Linked DNA regions of Saccharomyces cerevisiae S288C. The gene in region 4 interacts genetically with the main gene of each other region. Each region holds a gene or a part of one and is shown on either strand. Other genes may lie near its edges. The genes, in order: GON7, TRM2, RSR1 and BUD8.

The links.
Region 1: of BUD8 (region 4) and GON7, changing one suppresses a phenotype caused by changing the other (phenotypic suppression), as found in Saccharomyces cerevisiae (one study listed by BioGRID).
Region 2: mutations in BUD8 (region 4) and TRM2 together harm fitness more than expected from each alone (negative genetic interaction), as found in Saccharomyces cerevisiae (2 studies listed by BioGRID).
Region 3: of BUD8 (region 4) and RSR1, a mutation in one rescues a mutant of the other (synthetic rescue), as found in Saccharomyces cerevisiae (one study listed by BioGRID).

The regions. Positions count from the first base shown.
Region 1 is NC_001142.9:81,112-84,319, forward strand, and holds GON7 (chromatin DNA-binding EKC/KEOPS complex subunit GON7), read left to right. Parts: upstream 1-2,336; coding exon 2,337-2,708; downstream 2,709-3,208. Other genes in the region: alpha-1,2-mannosyltransferase MNN5, read left to right, coding at 1-804; ATG36 (Atg36p), read right to left, coding at 984-1,865; MNN11 (alpha-1,6-mannosyltransferase), read left to right, coding at 2,957-3,208. UniProt on the Saccharomyces cerevisiae protein: Component of the EKC/KEOPS complex that is required for the formation of a threonylcarbamoyl group on adenosine at position 37 (t(6)A37) in tRNAs that read codons beginning with adenine.
Region 2 is NC_001143.9:547,738-552,548, forward strand, and holds TRM2 (tRNA (uracil(54)-C(5))-methyltransferase), read left to right. Parts: upstream 1-1,710; coding exon 1,711-3,630; downstream 3,631-4,811. Other genes in the region: DYN1 (dynein heavy chain), read right to left, coding at 1-188; Rho family GTPase RHO4, read left to right, coding at 479-1,354; 40S ribosomal protein eS21 RPS21A, read left to right, coding at 3,920-3,943, 4,266-4,505. UniProt on the Saccharomyces cerevisiae protein: Catalyzes the formation of 5-methyl-uridine at position 54 (m5U54) in all tRNA. May also have a role in tRNA stabilization or maturation.
Region 3 is NC_001139.9:794,011-797,872, reverse strand, and holds RSR1 (Ras family GTPase RSR1), read left to right. Parts: upstream 1-2,380; coding exon 2,381-3,199; downstream 3,200-3,862. Other genes in the region: GTO1 (omega-class glutathione transferase), read left to right, coding at 5-1,075; YGR153W (uncharacterized protein), read right to left, coding at 1,128-1,781. UniProt on the Saccharomyces cerevisiae protein: Ras-related protein which binds GDP/GTP and possesses intrinsic GTPase activity. Involved in development of cell polarity during the cell division cycle, and essential for bud emergence.
Region 4 is NC_001144.5:832,068-836,902, reverse strand, and holds BUD8 (Bud8p), read right to left. Parts: upstream 2,552-4,835; coding exon 740-2,551; downstream 1-739. Other genes in the region: sedoheptulose-7-phosphate:D-glyceraldehyde-3-phosphate transaldolase TAL1, read left to right, coding at 1-553; LUG1 (Lug1p), read right to left, coding at 3,364-4,835. UniProt on the Saccharomyces cerevisiae protein: Involved in positioning the distal bud pole signal.

The DNA.
Region 1 (3,208 bases), on a different chromosome or scaffold from region 4:
TACACTCCAAAGGAGAGACAGGAGCATTTCCTGAAACATGTTCCCTTACATGATCTGGACGGCACGATGCCAGACTTGAGCTCTGAATCAGGCCAGATGGTGATTGATAAGATTCGCCATTTCAACACTCTATTACTGGCGCTATACTATAATGTTTATGGGCCTACCTGGTATTATAAGATGATTTCTCAAGGCACTGCCGGTGAAGGTGACAAAGACACTTTCGTCGCTGCTGCCCATGCCTTGAATATGCCATACTATCAAGTGAGGACTAACTTTGAATTTGATGGTTTCTTCTATCAAAAAGATGATTACAAGGGTCTCGCCTTGCTCCAGCATGATTTTGAACAAGATTACAAGCAATACCAAAAGGCGCAGCAGAAAGTTAAAGCCAACATTGAGGAATTTTCCAAACTGGATCCAGATTATACTTTGGACAATGGTTTCTTGAAAACTTTGATGGTTAATGATGACGGTTCTGATTTGGATATCATGTTCATTCATGCCAGTTTCTACAAGGCAGATCCATGGACTCTTTATCATGAAAACAGATTTATCGGTCCAAATGGCGAACAAGTACGGGGCTTCAGGAAGCCGCATCGCTATGGAATGGATTTTGAATTGTTTTTATTCAATGATATGAGGGGGTCCTTCTGTACCACTCCGAAAAGCCAAGTTATTAAATTCAAGTATTTTACCGATAAAGTTAATACCCCAGAATGGGATGCAATGTGTGAGTATTTGACCAATCATGTTAATTATCTGGAGAGCACACACAAAGAAGCTATGGGGGAGAAAAACTAATGAAGTGATTAACTATAATAATTTAATAATAACTCGCCATCCGACCTTGTATAATATAATGTAGCATATATGTGCACGGATATATATACATCTTAGAAAAAAATGAAAAAATGAAACCAAGAAAAAACTAACTGATGGTGTTCGGACAACGTTTTAGAATGAGGGTATCTAACTTTCTTCTACCATTCTCTGTCCAAAAACCTAGAAAGTAAAGTCCAGCCAAACCAAGATGTGTTTTCCAACGACGAAGACGCTGCGCTTGGTGAACGGTTTAATGTTTCTCCAGTGCTCTCATCTGTAAATCGTGACCGCGATGACGAATCTATATCTACGTCTGACAACCTGTCGAATTCAAGAGGCATCGAGTAGTAATTGAAAATAAAGTCACGCTGGGGGAAAAAAGATGGTATATCGTCAAATATTCTTTCATGATGGTATGTCAATAATTGCCGGCGAGTTTTCTCGCGGTAGCATGTTCTTAGAATTGGATACAAGTCTCTTGATAGTTTCTGCACAGCAATTCTTTGGGCATTTGTAAGTTTCTTTAATTTCGCAGAGGTATAAAGTTCTCTTTCCTTAAAGGAATAAACGGGAAATCCATGATTGACACCGTCGCTTGATTGAGGGACATTTTGATGCAGCTCATTAAATAAATGGCTGCCCAAACACCACTCATCGATCCGGTCAGAGTTACTAGACGATCGAATGTTACGAAGAGCGGGCGCCGGCTGCTCTGAGGGCGGAGAATTTTTATTGCTGTCACTGGATATCGACAGTATAGCAATTTCGTCAGAAGGAACTTCGAAGGCACTACTTGCAGATTCCAGTGTCTCATCGCGACTAATGGCAGTATTTGTACATTCTGGAGATAAATCTGGGTTATTGATAACCCTTACATCATTGAATGACTTTAATCTATGGAAGTCTAGCTCAAATTCCTCTTCTGAGAGTTCCAGGACTTCAAATAGCGATTCTTCATCGTGAATGCCGTTATTAATTCTGGGTTGAATGCGAGCAGACCTTGACCCGCAATCAACCTGGTAATTGTTCACAGATGCCATTAATGAGCTGTACTGACCACCAAATTTTAGTATTTTAAGCCCTGAATACAACCTTTGCTCCTTGTCGACATTCGTAAGTATATAGAAATCTATCCCTTCAAAAGATTTGTATTATTCGGGATTACGCTACAGCCGCACGTAGATCGTACGTGTATAACGATGTTTATCTTGGTGAAAGTATCTTAACGCGAATGCTCTAGTGATGGCACAATAGAATAGTGTCTTAGCACCACAGAGCGTGATTTTTTAAAGCTCTATATTAGCAACTACGATAGGTGTTTATTTAGTTTCTTTGTTGATCTTCCTGTTTCCAGTGTTACGGCCTTGTCAGGTCAAAAATTTTACCCGGATCTCTAGTAATGAGTAACTTAAGAATATCCCATCTGATTATTGGTAGTTTTACTGAACCAAGTTAGAGCTAAATAAATATATACAGCCGATAGTGCACTGGAACCTTATCCTAATATCTCAATGAAACTACCGGTAGCACAGTACAGTGCACCAGATGGTGTGGAAAAAAGTTTTGCACCAATACGCGATGACCCTCGATACATGACCACAGAGGGAAGGACAACTGGGCCCAGTGACCATGTGCTAAACGCTGGCCAAATCGATAGAGACAAACCTTCAGAACCGGAACGCACGAAAGATGGCTCACAACTGACATACTTAGGCCAGCTGCGCACGCAGCTGACGGGGCTACAGGACGATATTAACGAGTTTTTGACAGGAAGAATGGAATTGGCAAAAAATAAGAAGAAAGCCGGCGCAGACGAGAAGCGGATCCAGGAAGAGATTAACCAGCTATTAGATGGTGGTGACGGTGACGAAGATGCTGTTTAGGCAACGATATGTAGCGCTAGAGAGTGTATATACAAACAGAAAAGAGTCTAATGATAAATGACAAATATTTCGTTACAAGTGATAATTGTTGAACTAGGAAGAGTTGATATAAAAAAATAATAAACACACGATGGGATACAGTTAAGAAGGATTGATCGACTCCTAAATGATGCGAAGAAAGCCAATTTTCAACTTGGAATCATCCTGCCGGTTTGTTGTTGGTGTTAGCTGTGTTAGGACTCGTTAAAATGGCAATCAAACCAAGAACGAAGGGCAAAACGTACTCCTCAAGATCGGTGGGTTCGCAGTGGTTCAACAGGCTTGGTTTCAAGCAGAACAAGTACGGAACTTGTAAATTTTTGTCGATAATAACGGCCTTTGTTTTTATCCTCTATTTCTTCTCCAATCGCTTCTATCCAATTTCTCGTTCCGCCGGTGCATCATATTCTCCATCCCATGGGCTGTATATTAACGAAATTCCTGCCTCCAGCCGGTTGATT
Region 2 (4,811 bases), on a different chromosome or scaffold from region 4:
ACAAACAACGTGTCGAACTCTCTCCCATCCAATAATCCCAAAAAAAATTGAAACCGTTCAAGGTATTGACAATGTAGATAATCAATGAATGCTTGCTCATTCTCTTTGGGAGAATTCTTTATACCCGTTACAGTAGCTGCAACAAATTCTATCAGCTCATTAGCAAGTCTTGCCTCATTCTTGCACATTGCCTAAAAAACGTTTTGACGTACTTTCCAATTTAAGCTCTGAACGAGTATTATTGCCCTTCTATGTTCTATGCTTTCTGTTAATTTTTATATGTAATGTTTGTTTACCTTTCATTAGCTTATTTATTAGAATCCGTACAATGCGACCTTCCGCGCATCAATTCGGGATGATCTGATTAAGTAGTTATAGCCTTACGTTAAGACGACAAAAGACATGATAAGCATCCCTCAAAAGTTACAGCAAACTTAAGTCAAATAGGTCCAAAAATCTCCAATAGTAACGCTTTTTCATGAATACACTATTATTTAAGCGAAAAGGTGGCAATTGTGGGAACGAAAGTAACATAGTTTCGCAGGGATCGCCCTCAAGTAGCAATCTTCCTGAATCACCTGGCACTTTAGATGAAAAGAATCTTCCCAGATTGCCTACTCCATTCGCTAGAAGCCTTTCTACCATTCCTAGTTATGAGCAGATGAAACGTACAAACAAACTGCCAGATTATCACCTAAAGATTGTTGTTGTGGGAGATGGCGCTGTAGGGAAGACGTGCCTGCTGATATCTTATGTCCAAGGAACATTTCCGACTGATTATATTCCTACTATTTTCGAAAATTATGTCACAAACATAGAAGGACCCAACGGTCAAATTATAGAATTGGCATTATGGGACACTGCCGGCCAAGAAGAGTATAGTAGACTTAGACCGCTTTCATATACGAATGCAGATGTGCTGATGGTGTGCTATTCTGTTGGTAGTAAGACATCGCTTAAAAATGTGGAAGATCTCTGGTTCCCAGAGGTTAAGCATTTTTGTCCTTCCACTCCAATCATGCTAGTCGGCCTTAAATCAGATCTATATGAAGCTGATAACCTTTCAGATCTGGTGGAACCAAGTTCAGCAGAATCCTTGGCCAAGCGTCTGGGGGCATTTGCACATATTCAATGCTCAGCACGATTGAAAGAAAATATCGATGAAGTATTTGAAACTGCCATACACACGTTACTTTCCGATTCATTATATGCTCCCAGAGAGCCTACACATACAATCAAAAATCCCTTTAAAAGAAATACCACCAGATCAGATATCGATTCTTCTACTGGAGATACCAGCGTCTCTATTTCCGGAACGAAAAGATTAAGAAAAAACAAGTGTATTATAATGTAAGAATAATGATGAAGATTATTCTGTTGCCCATTCTGTACGCACTTACAACATTTGAAAAGTGGCAAGAAAAAATACACACATTTTACTATCTTCCGCTATCTTATTTATCAAGACGAAACAATTAGAACCTGATTTAATTTAACTTCCATTTTTCTGAATCTGGTGTGATATACCGCTCCAATATATTCGAATTTATCCCAATTTTATCATAATAATTCATTTTAATTCGATGTCATAAAGTACTAATTCGATATTAATCTAGCCTAATTACATTAAATACTTAATAAAAGCTTCTGTGACATAAAAGTACAAATCTGTCATTTTATTTTAGAGGAATAGTTTAGGACAAAGTCATTATGTACGAACAGTTTGAATTTTCTTTTTTTTTCTTCGAAAATTCAGACAATAAGGTTAAATATAAAGCTCATCTCATCTCATCGATAAAACGCTGGAGTATTATCACATGCATGCGTTGCTTTTGGACCGTACAGAAGTCTATATTTAAAGCTAGGTTTTTCGCTTGCAGAAACTTTGTCAAGAAGCATAATTATAAACTAATCAGCACCATGACTGGAAGTACTGAAATGGTACCACCAACAATGAAACATACCGTTGACAACAAAAGGCTTTCGTCTCCTTTGACAGATTCTGGTAACCGCCGGACTAAGAAGCCAAAGTTGAGAAAGTACAAGGCCAAAAAGGTTGAAACAACTTCTCCGATGGGTGTCCTAGAATTTGAAGTGAACGATTTGTTAAAATCTCAAAATTTGTCCAGGGAGCAGGTTCTGAACGATGTTACTTCAATTCTAAATGATAAGTCCTCAACAGATGGACCTATCGTCTTACAATATCACCGAGAGGTAAAAAATGTCAAGGTCTTAGAAATTACTTCCAATGGCAACGGGTTGGCTTTGATCGATAATCCTGTTGAAACAGAAAAGAAGCAAGTTGTTATCATACCGTTTGGCCTGCCCGGTGATGTAGTTAATATCAAAGTCTTTAAGACCCACCCTTACTATGTCGAGAGTGATTTATTAGACGTAGTGGAAAAATCTCCAATGAGAAGAGATGATTTAATTAGGGATAAATATTTCGGGAAATCTTCAGGAAGTCAATTAGAGTTCTTAACTTACGATGACCAACTAGAATTGAAAAGAAAAACAATTATGAATGCCTACAAGTTCTTCGCACCAAGGTTAGTTGCTGAAAAACTTTTACCCCCATTTGACACCACCGTAGCTTCCCCTTTACAATTTGGCTACAGGACCAAAATTACGCCTCATTTCGATATGCCAAAAAGAAAACAAAAGGAACTATCAGTAAGGCCTCCTTTAGGATTTGGTCAAAAGGGTAGACCTCAATGGAGAAAAGATACTTTGGATATCGGCGGACATGGTTCGATATTAGATATCGATGAATGTGTGCTTGCAACTGAAGTTCTCAACAAAGGATTGACTAATGAAAGAAGAAAGTTTGAGCAAGAGTTTAAAAACTACAAAAAAGGCGCGACTATTTTACTGAGAGAGAATACCACTATTTTAGACCCTTCCAAACCAACTTTAGAACAGTTAACCGAAGAAGCCTCTAGGGATGAAAATGGTGATATAAGTTATGTCGAAGTCGAAGACAAAAAGAACAATGTCAGGCTGGCTAAAACTTGCGTTACCAATCCTAGACAAATTGTCACTGAATATGTTGATGGATATACTTTTAATTTTAGTGCGGGTGAGTTTTTTCAAAATAATAACTCTATCCTGCCAATAGTGACCAAGTATGTCCGTGATAACTTGCAAGCTCCCGCTAAAGGTGATGATAATAAAACAAAGTTTCTAGTAGATGCTTATTGTGGATCAGGTCTTTTCAGTATATGCAGCTCCAAGGGCGTAGATAAAGTGATTGGTGTAGAAATTTCCGCTGACAGTGTCTCTTTTGCAGAAAAAAATGCAAAGGCAAATGGTGTTGAAAACTGTAGATTCATCGTTGGAAAGGCTGAGAAACTCTTTGAGTCTATTGATACTCCAAGTGAAAACACTTCCGTTATCTTGGATCCACCACGCAAGGGCTGTGACGAATTATTCCTAAAGCAATTAGCCGCATATAATCCAGCCAAGATTATTTACATATCGTGTAATGTCCATTCCCAGGCACGTGATGTCGAGTACTTCCTCAAAGAAACAGAAAACGGTTCCGCCCACCAGATTGAAAGCATAAGAGGATTTGATTTCTTTCCACAAACGCACCACGTTGAGAGTGTGTGTATAATGAAGAGAATCTAATTGCACATATAAAATATCTATCACTATGTATATCTTTCTAGAGTAAATGTCTTCCTGTACTTTTAAATCCGTACATTTTGAAAATTGAAAATGTATCTCAGATTCATTTTTCAATTCGAAATGAACGAAAATTACACTAAAAAGGTAACGTGTAGAGTGATATTATGCACAACGATTTTTTGAAAATTTCATATACGTTATTCTAATGTTTAGTAGAGAGTTTAGCGGAAGATATAAGGTGATCAGGCGTAAATTAACCACATACAAACCATAGAAACATCATACCAAAATGGAAAACGATAAGGGCCAATTAGTATGTTCGAGAAATCTATAAGATTTTTTATATTTTAACGGATGAATGGAAAGTGCATGGCTGTTTAAATAAATGTAAGAAAGATATCATAATGCAAACAAAACGTAGGCATCCGCAATGTATGGAAAACATACTTATGGTTACCGATAATAAGCAACTCCGAAGGTGCCATAGACCAGCTCTGAATGCAGCCTACAAAAGTTGAGCAATTTCTGACAAAATTCTTCGATTACTTTCTTCACATGTATTAAATCATCACTCACCACCACCAACAATGTGTTTTTTAAACTAGCATAACTAACAAAGATTTGTTTTACATCAGGTCGAACTTTACGTTCCAAGAAAATGTTCTGCTACCAACAGAATCATCAAGGCTGATGACCACGCATCTGTTCAAATCAACGTCGCTAAGGTTGATGAAGAAGGACGTGCTATCCCAGGTGAGTACGTTACCTACGCTTTGTCCGGTTACGTTAGATCCAGAGGTGAATCTGATGATTCTTTGAACCGTTTGGCTCAAAACGATGGTTTGTTAAAGAACGTCTGGTCTTACTCACGTTAAGAGAAAAGAAAAAGAGGATTCGATTTAAGCTTCATATCGTTCAGACTAATAGGTAACTGACGATTTTTCTCTTCATTACCAACTTTTCACCATATGTTCTAATTCGTCGGATTTTCGATGAAGCGTTTTAGGTACTCTATAGGTATTTAGGTTATAATAATATATTGTATTTTTAGACAACCGGAACCTGTTTAATTTGAAGAGTCATTGTATTCTTGGCTATTCTGTTTAAAGTTTTGCAGTGTGGAGTCCCTGAGAAACCCCCGAGCAAAAAAAAGACCCCAAAACCCCGTAAATATTACTACT
Region 3 (3,862 bases), on a different chromosome or scaffold from region 4:
AGCCATGTCAGTATCTTACAAGGGAACAATTTCTAAGACACATTCTGTTTTTAAACCAGAAAAAGGAAGGTATTATATTTACGGGGCCCTTGGGTGTCCATTCACTCATAGAGCCATTCTTGCCAGGTCTTTGAAGAAATTAGAACCTGTTCTAGGGCTTGTGTTATCTCACTGGCAATTAGACTCCAAGGGTGCCCGTTTCTTACCTGCTCCACACCGGCCGGAAAAATATAAAGAGAGATTCTTTACTGCCACTGGTGGCATTGCTTCAGCTAAATTAGACGAATCTGAGGAGTTAGGTGATGTGAACAATGACTCTGCAAGGTTGTTCGTGGATGGCGCTTTCGACCCGGTGGAAAATATATCAAGGTTAAGCGAGTTGTACTACTTAAATGATCCTAAGTACCCCGGTACAAAGTTCACTGTGCCTGTTCTGTGGGATTCTAAAACAAGGAAAATTGTTAACAATGAGAGTGGCGATATCATAAGAATTTTGAACAGTGGCGTGTTTGATGAATTTATCCAAAGCGAAGAAACGAACGTGATTGATCTAGTTCCGCATGATTTAATAGACGAGATTGATAAGAACATCAAATGGGTTCATCCGAAGATTAATCTTGGTGTCTATAAAGTCGGATTAGCAGAAAACGGAAAGATTTACGAAACTGAAGTAAAAACACTGTTTGAAAACTTGCAGAAGATGGAATGTGTACTAAAAGAAAATTATAAGCGCTTAGAGGAGCAATTCAGTGGTAACAAACAGAAAATCTTGGCTAAATATTTTGTTTTAGGACAGAGGTTAACTGAAGCGGATATCAGATTGTATCCATCAATAATTAGATTTGACGTCGTGTACGTGCAGCACTTCAAATGCAATTTGAAAACTATAAGGGATGGTTTCCCGTACCTTCATTTGTGGTTGATTAATCTATACTGGAATTACGCAGAGTTTAGATTTACTACAGATTTTAATCATATTAAGCTCTTTTACATCAGGATGGAAGTAAGTAGGAACAAGATCAATCAGTTTGGTATAGTGCCATTAGGCCCAAAGCCTGACATTTCTAGATTATGAAAACTTCTAATATTTTCTTACACACACATATATTTATATGCATGGCTATACTTCAAAAGAGGTTGTCACTTCCATTTCCATGTAGGTAAAACTCGTGTATAGACGGAACACAGACTTCCCTAGTTTTATTGACTTCATAGTCTCTGCACCATTCAATTATGTCTCTGTAAAAGAGACTCTTCTTTATATCGCCCTTTTCTATATTCTCCATCTCCAGTTCTTTGAAGCATTTTGCTTTTCTCGATTTATGACAACCACACGGTTTTACACTCTCCTCTCCATGTTCTACCATTTCATGCCTCCAGTCAAAAAATGGTTGACTGTATTCCCTACTTGAATCCATACTTGATTCAACAAGGTAGTTTCTCGAATTCTCAGGTAGTACTGCCACCCTCCTTAAACGTTTCTCTCTTTGTCTTGCTTCCTTTCTTTGTTCTATTTTTGGCGGAATGGTAAATTTCACAGGATTCTTGGATCCATTCTCATTTTCATTCAAGGCATTTAAGTCCAAGGAAAATAACCGTATGCTCACGTTGGACCCTTCAAACGTGAAACTATCTTCACTCAATATACTTCCTACACCGCATTGTTCCTCGTTACTACTTGAATCCTGTATATCTGAGAGAGAGGTAAAAAATGAGTAGGTATCTCTTTCCCCCTCACATTCGTAAGTGCCGACTTCTTTATTCAAACAGGCCTTTCCCATTTCTCAAAGACCTCTTTTCGTAACCTATTTAGTAATGATGAAAAGTATTAAACAGTATTTTCAAGATAAGAATTTTATTATTTTGTACCATTTACGATACACATAAACCCCAGAAAAAAACAACTTTATGGGAAAAGGCGAATAGTACTCATAATATACAAGGTAAAAGCAGGCGTATCTCAGTCATACAGTTCAATAGAGAAAGGCATTTTTGGAATATCATACATTTTATCTAGCAAGTGGAAACAGACTGTATATTCCCAAGAATCATCGCCTTTTTATCACAACGTCAGCCTCACAACTAATTCGCGTCAAAGCGCATTCATCCTCGACATTCTCAAACGCGAAATATCGTCGAAAAAGGTTAAAAAGAAAAGAGAGAAGGACAGAAAAAGAAAAAAGTAAAGTAGAGCTCGATCTCGAAAAAAAGAACCATTGCGTTCGTTCTTAACTACGCCAAGAAGTTTTTGAAATTTCATCCTCTCCACTGAACAATAATACTATTATTTAGTAACGATATAGAACATTTACATACAACGTTCTAATATTTTGGCTTCTATCATCGCTTAGAAATATTTGGCTAGGAAACATTAGGACTAATGAGAGACTATAAATTAGTAGTATTGGGTGCTGGTGGTGTCGGTAAATCCTGCTTAACCGTGCAGTTTGTACAGGGAGTTTATTTGGATACGTATGATCCAACGATCGAAGATTCTTACAGGAAAACCATCGAGATCGATAACAAGGTATTCGACCTGGAAATTTTAGATACAGCGGGTATAGCACAATTTACTGCAATGAGAGAATTATACATAAAGTCAGGAATGGGGTTCCTGTTGGTATATTCAGTAACAGATCGGCAATCTTTGGAAGAATTAATGGAGCTAAGAGAACAGGTCCTTAGGATCAAAGATTCCGATCGCGTTCCAATGGTTCTAATAGGTAACAAGGCTGATCTAATCAATGAAAGGGTAATAAGTGTGGAAGAAGGTATAGAGGTAAGCAGTAAATGGGGTAGAGTTCCCTTTTATGAAACAAGCGCTTTGTTGAGGAGCAATGTGGATGAAGTGTTCGTTGATTTAGTTAGGCAAATCATTCGGAATGAAATGGAAAGTGTTGCAGTTAAAGACGCAAGAAATCAAAGTCAACAATTTAGCAAAATCGAGTCTCCATCAACCAGGCTCCCTAGTTCTGCGAAACAGGATACGAAACAATCAAACAATAAGCAATCATCAAAAGGTTTATATAACAAATCTTCACAAGGACAAGCTAAAGTTAAACAATCTACTCCGGTTAATGAAAAGCACAAACCGTCACATGCCGTTCCGAAATCTGGTTCTAGCAACAGGACAGGAATTAGCGCTACTTCACAACAAAAGAAAAAGAAGAAAAACGCTTCCACTTGCACTATTCTATAGTCACTTAATTTTATTATAAATGAATCAAGATATCAGATAAAAAGACTTTACTTGAAATAGTTTTATTATAGTTCTAAAAGGTTTAGTTTAAAGTATTAGCATACGTTGTATAAGTTTTTAAAGAAATCAATTAATAATGTTTGAAAATAAATTTAAACCCAAAAAAAATGAAATGTTAAAAATATGGACGCAACCGGAATCGAACCGATGACCTCTTCCTTGCAAGGGAAGCGCGCTACCAACTGCGCCATGTGCCCGCAATCTATGGGATTTTACGGTAGATGCTGCGTTACGTATAAAAAATATTAAATGAACAGATCCACACTCTCGTAACTAAAGCTCACACTGTAGTTTCTTATAGTTTATGTTGATTGATATAATTAATTCAGAGGGTCTTTAGTCTCAGATATACTTCGCAATTACTTAAAAGAGTAATCGTTAATGTTTTCCCTCCAACATAGTCGTTATCGTTTAGCGTGCGTTATCAAGTTTCAACGATGACAAAATGATTGATTAATTAGTCCATTTTTCTTTCCTATCTAGTAAAATCAAAGTGTTTCTTCTCAACCTGAGATCTAACTCACTGTATTGATATTGAAAATCTGAGTAGTCTTCTAAAAAGCACAGAAATTAGGCCGATGTTTTCGACTTCATATCTCGTCG
Region 4 (4,835 bases):
TCAAGCTGCCAAAGAATTGGAAGAAAAGGACGGTATCCACTGTAATTTGACTCTATTATTCTCCTTCGTTCAAGCAGTTGCCTGTGCCGAGGCCCAAGTTACTTTGATTTCCCCATTTGTTGGTAGAATTCTAGACTGGTACAAATCCAGCACTGGTAAAGATTACAAGGGTGAAGCCGACCCAGGTGTTATTTCCGTCAAGAAAATCTACAACTACTACAAGAAGTACGGTTACAAGACTATTGTTATGGGTGCTTCTTTCAGAAGCACTGACGAAATCAAAAACTTGGCTGGTGTTGACTATCTAACAATTTCTCCAGCTTTATTGGACAAGTTGATGAACAGTACTGAACCTTTCCCAAGAGTTTTGGACCCTGTCTCCGCTAAGAAGGAAGCCGGCGACAAGATTTCTTACATCAGCGACGAATCTAAATTCAGATTCGACTTGAATGAAGACGCTATGGCCACTGAAAAATTGTCCGAAGGTATCAGAAAATTCTCTGCCGATATTGTTACTCTATTCGACTTGATTGAAAAGAAAGTTACCGCTTAAGGAAGTATCTCGGAAATATTAATTTAGGCCATGTCCTTATGCACGTTTCTTTTGATACTTACGGGTACATGTACACAAGTATATCTATATATATAAATTAATGAAAATCCCCTATTTATATATATGACTTTAACGAGACAGAACAGTTTTTTATTTTTTATCCTATTTGATGAATGATACAGTTTCTTATTCACGTGTTATACCCACACCAAATCCAATAGCAATACCGGCCATCACAATCACTGTTTCGGCAGCCCCTAAGATCAGACAAAACATCCGGAACCACCTTAAATCAACGTCCCATATGAATCCTTGCAGCAAAGCCGCTCGGTGTTCTTTATTCATAAGCAACCTCATTAATCTATAGTCTGAAACTAATTTCCTTCTTGAGCTGCAGCCAATAATAAAAAATAATGGCGGCACTATACTACAACATAGGAGGATCACAATGATGTTTTCGATGCTGTAAACGTCCCTGAATCCATTTTGACCTGAATCAAACGAATGAATGGAAGCGGTATCGATATGTTGAATTGGCATTCTCGCCTCCAGGTCTATATTTTCAGCATCGTGCCTGTCTTCTTTCCTATTATCAGTTTTTTCTTGTTGCTTTCGTCGTATGCTTCGAGCTGGCTTTTCTATAATGGAGTTCTGTCCCGTGTCTGACTCCGAGCTTTGAGATTTAATTGGAGCTAGCACGAGGGGTTGTCCATGTTCTGGCAACGTTTTATTTTTCTTCTTGTTCATCTTGGTCAATGGAGAGGGCGTCTTGTGTCCTTCATAGCGTGAAAATGGATCAGACTTAGTTGAATTTCCAGATTCTAAGCGTAAAGGTGTCTTCGTCCATTTGCTTGGTCCGGACACACTTCTTAATACGGGAATTGAAGGTAGTCCAATTGGTGGACCTTCTTCTTCTAGGGATGTGGAGGGCTTGCGCGTAGATTTTGAACTGAATTTTTCTTCATTATTATGCCCTATATGGTCTTTAGGAGAACTTTCGTTACTACTGTCACTATTGTGTGAAGGAATCAATATGTTACCAATTAACGATGGACTCTGAGGAATTTTAATCTTCCTTGCCGACGTACCTGGCGCACCTGGCGAATGCGAATCATCACTTGTCGACGACTTTATTGATCCAGCCTTCTCTGGAATTTTTAGTTTGTGCGGTATAAATTTTGATTCATTCACAGGTTCGTATTGATCTATGACTTCATCCTCGGTCTCGCCTTCACCTTTACTGCCAGTTGAGCTTATAAAATTAACATTAGAAGTTTTATTCTTCGTTAGCCTCACTGCCTCTTCAACATCTGGTTCTAAGGTGTCATCGTAATGGTATGAGAAAAATGAGTGTTCCGTTGTTTCATTAGGTTCAATTGAGGTAGGACGTGGAGGTGTTCCATTCTTTGACTCGTCGTTCCCGCGATTCGCCAAAGATGAGTATAATGAAGATACGACCCTACTATGCTCTTGCTCTATAGGGCTTCCTTCAACATCTTCTCCCATAAGAACTGAAGTTGATATTGTCAGTGCGCAACTTAATCTCTGCGAAGATGGTGAATTCACTGCTCTTTCTGGCCGTACCGCCGCGTTTTGTGAAGGAGTTACGTTCCTTAACGGTACGGTATCCTCGTTGTCTCGTCGAAGTGAAGTTGGCCTTACAGTAGTGTTGCTTGGTATATTATTATCTTGGGTATCGTGAAATTGTGTAATAGAGGACGAGTTGCTACTAGAGCTAGAGCTTGTGGATGCTCCCATTATTTGAGAAAACCTTTCATTGTTGATGTATACAGCAAATCCTTGACCTCTACTTGTGGTTTCATAGGCAACAGTAGCCATCTCTGTCTCCGCATCGGGGTTCCCATGTGCTCCATTAAGATTTTCAAAAAACAAGGATGTTCTTAGTTGTAGTCTGGATGATACAGAGGAAGTACCACTATATGAAGTTGATGCTGTCGTTTCAGAAGAGTCCAAATTATCTTCGTCTGATTGTATCATACTTCATGTAGAATCGAAAAAATTCTCAAGTAGAAAGAGGATATTGGGTATTGTCAAAAATGCTTCGATTCAAGAAAGAAACTCCTAGAGTTAAGAGAAAGTTATAGTCTAAATTGAATTAAAATAAGCGAATGTAATTGGATTTATTATCTTATCAAAAGAATGAAAAGTATACCGGTAATCGCCTAGAAATAAAAATCGTCAATAATGAATATTAAAAAAGCAATTGAATGGTCTTTCTTTTGTTAACTAGAAGTTCGAACAAAACAGAGGTCGCGACTGGAAAGCTTCCAGTTGTTTTTGGATATCTTTATTATTTTCCTTCCTAAACCAATTGCCTGTTCTTAGTATGGGGTATTGATAATTGATGGAAGGTGATTGAAAATTATAATGAATTTTGCAGGTATCGCTTACGCGCAATAAAAAAACACACCACAATGAACTTAATCCTACTCTTATTAGCGTCAGGACTATCCGGTTTGGCCTCTCTAGTAAGCGGATGAGTAAATCATTTTCTAATTGTTTTTTTATTCTCTCTTTTGGATCATTTTTCGCAATGTTTACCTTTTTCGGAGGAGAGAGGCTTCCCTTATGAAAAAAAAAAAAATGGAAAACTTAAAAATCACATTGCGTTTCGAGGCATTCTTCAATCAGTTGATAGGGGAAGGGAATTTGCTGCAATCATTAAATTCGTTTCCGAAAAGTCTGGCTAAATGGTAGACGATGTATGCAATATTTTACCATATATAGAAATCATATACAAGACACAAGACGAGAGCGGAGGAAGGGTAAGGAAGTAAAGAGAAAAATATCTATGCTTTTAAACTGTAGTATCTATACATTCCACGCTCAATGCACCCAAAAACTTGATATTCGTTGACTATTTCAAAATGTAATCTATATCTTTGAGTCGTCAGAGGATCCTTTGGATCATAGACAAATTCATCGGGATGCGTGAAATAATAATTCTTACGCTTGTGAAGGTGGTTGAAGTGGGAGAAGGATAGAAACGATGCCGAGGACGAGTGTTCACCAGTTAAACTTGGTCTTGTTTTATTTCCTGAACGTGAGCGCGAACTTTCAAATAAGTGAAGTTGGGACCTTCTCCGTTGCAAGTCGGGATCGTGCAAATATTCGTCGTCAGTCTCTTCAAAGTTTGCGATTGTTCTTAGTTCCTGCTGCTCATCAGCTAACTCCTGAATTCTTTGTTCTTGCAATGATAGCTCACGTAAATCATGGACCGACCTATCCCAGTACAAACCATCCCTGATTTGAGATGCAGGAGAAACATTGATAGCAAAGGGGTTGGCAGAGGAAGAACCATTGTTGCTTCTTAAAGTGGGTCTGCTCAACAGAGAATTCCTTCTTGGGATGGCATTCACGTGATTTTGGCTATCTTCCACATGACTGTTGTTGTCGTCCTCATTATGGATGATTCTCCACCCACCACGAGGTAATGTTGGGGTAATTATTGGTAGTGGAGTATCACCAAGGCTGATCGCACCTTTTCTATTTAAGAATTGAGAAACTGGTGGCTTTAAATCTCTGTAACATAGTTTACGTCTAATACCACTTTGAGGAACTAGACCACATCCAAGCATGATTTTACTTTGGGCAAACTTTAGGAAATCCGGCTGGTTTATAATTTCTATGATTTTGTGACCCTCAAAATCATACCTAGTTAAATTTGACTTAGAATCCAAGTCATCACGATTCAGGAAAGGATCAGTCTTATATAACCAATATCTCCTACCATAAGAAGAATCAATGTAACATTTCCACTTTACTTGTTCTGCTGTTGAAATATCTTTAATTACCGAATTTGGGTTTTTATATCTGTATGCAATAATTTCATGTCTATCATTTAGTTTTTCAATCTGTTGCCACGAGTCAAAGGAAACTTCTAACGCGACTAAACTTGGAGAACAAGTGTACAATAATGAGTCCTGAATAGTCCATTTATTCACATAAGAGTTACCAGAAATATTCAAAAACTTCAATTTTTGAGCACAATTAGGATGGTCTTGATCAATTGGTGTCAAAAATTCTACGAGCGTAGATATCGGGATACTATTACCTTTTATACTCAAACTTTTTAACTTCGGAAAATTCCACTTTATGAACTGTAAGCTATCGCGGCATTGGTAATAATAAGTGGATTCGCTAATAGGGTCCTCGCCGAAAGAAGGTGCAACATGAAGCGGTAAACCGCCGATATTTAGATATTGCAAAGTTTTGTTATGGCCATGTTGACAAAGTTTTTTTAGTAAAAACATTGTGTGCA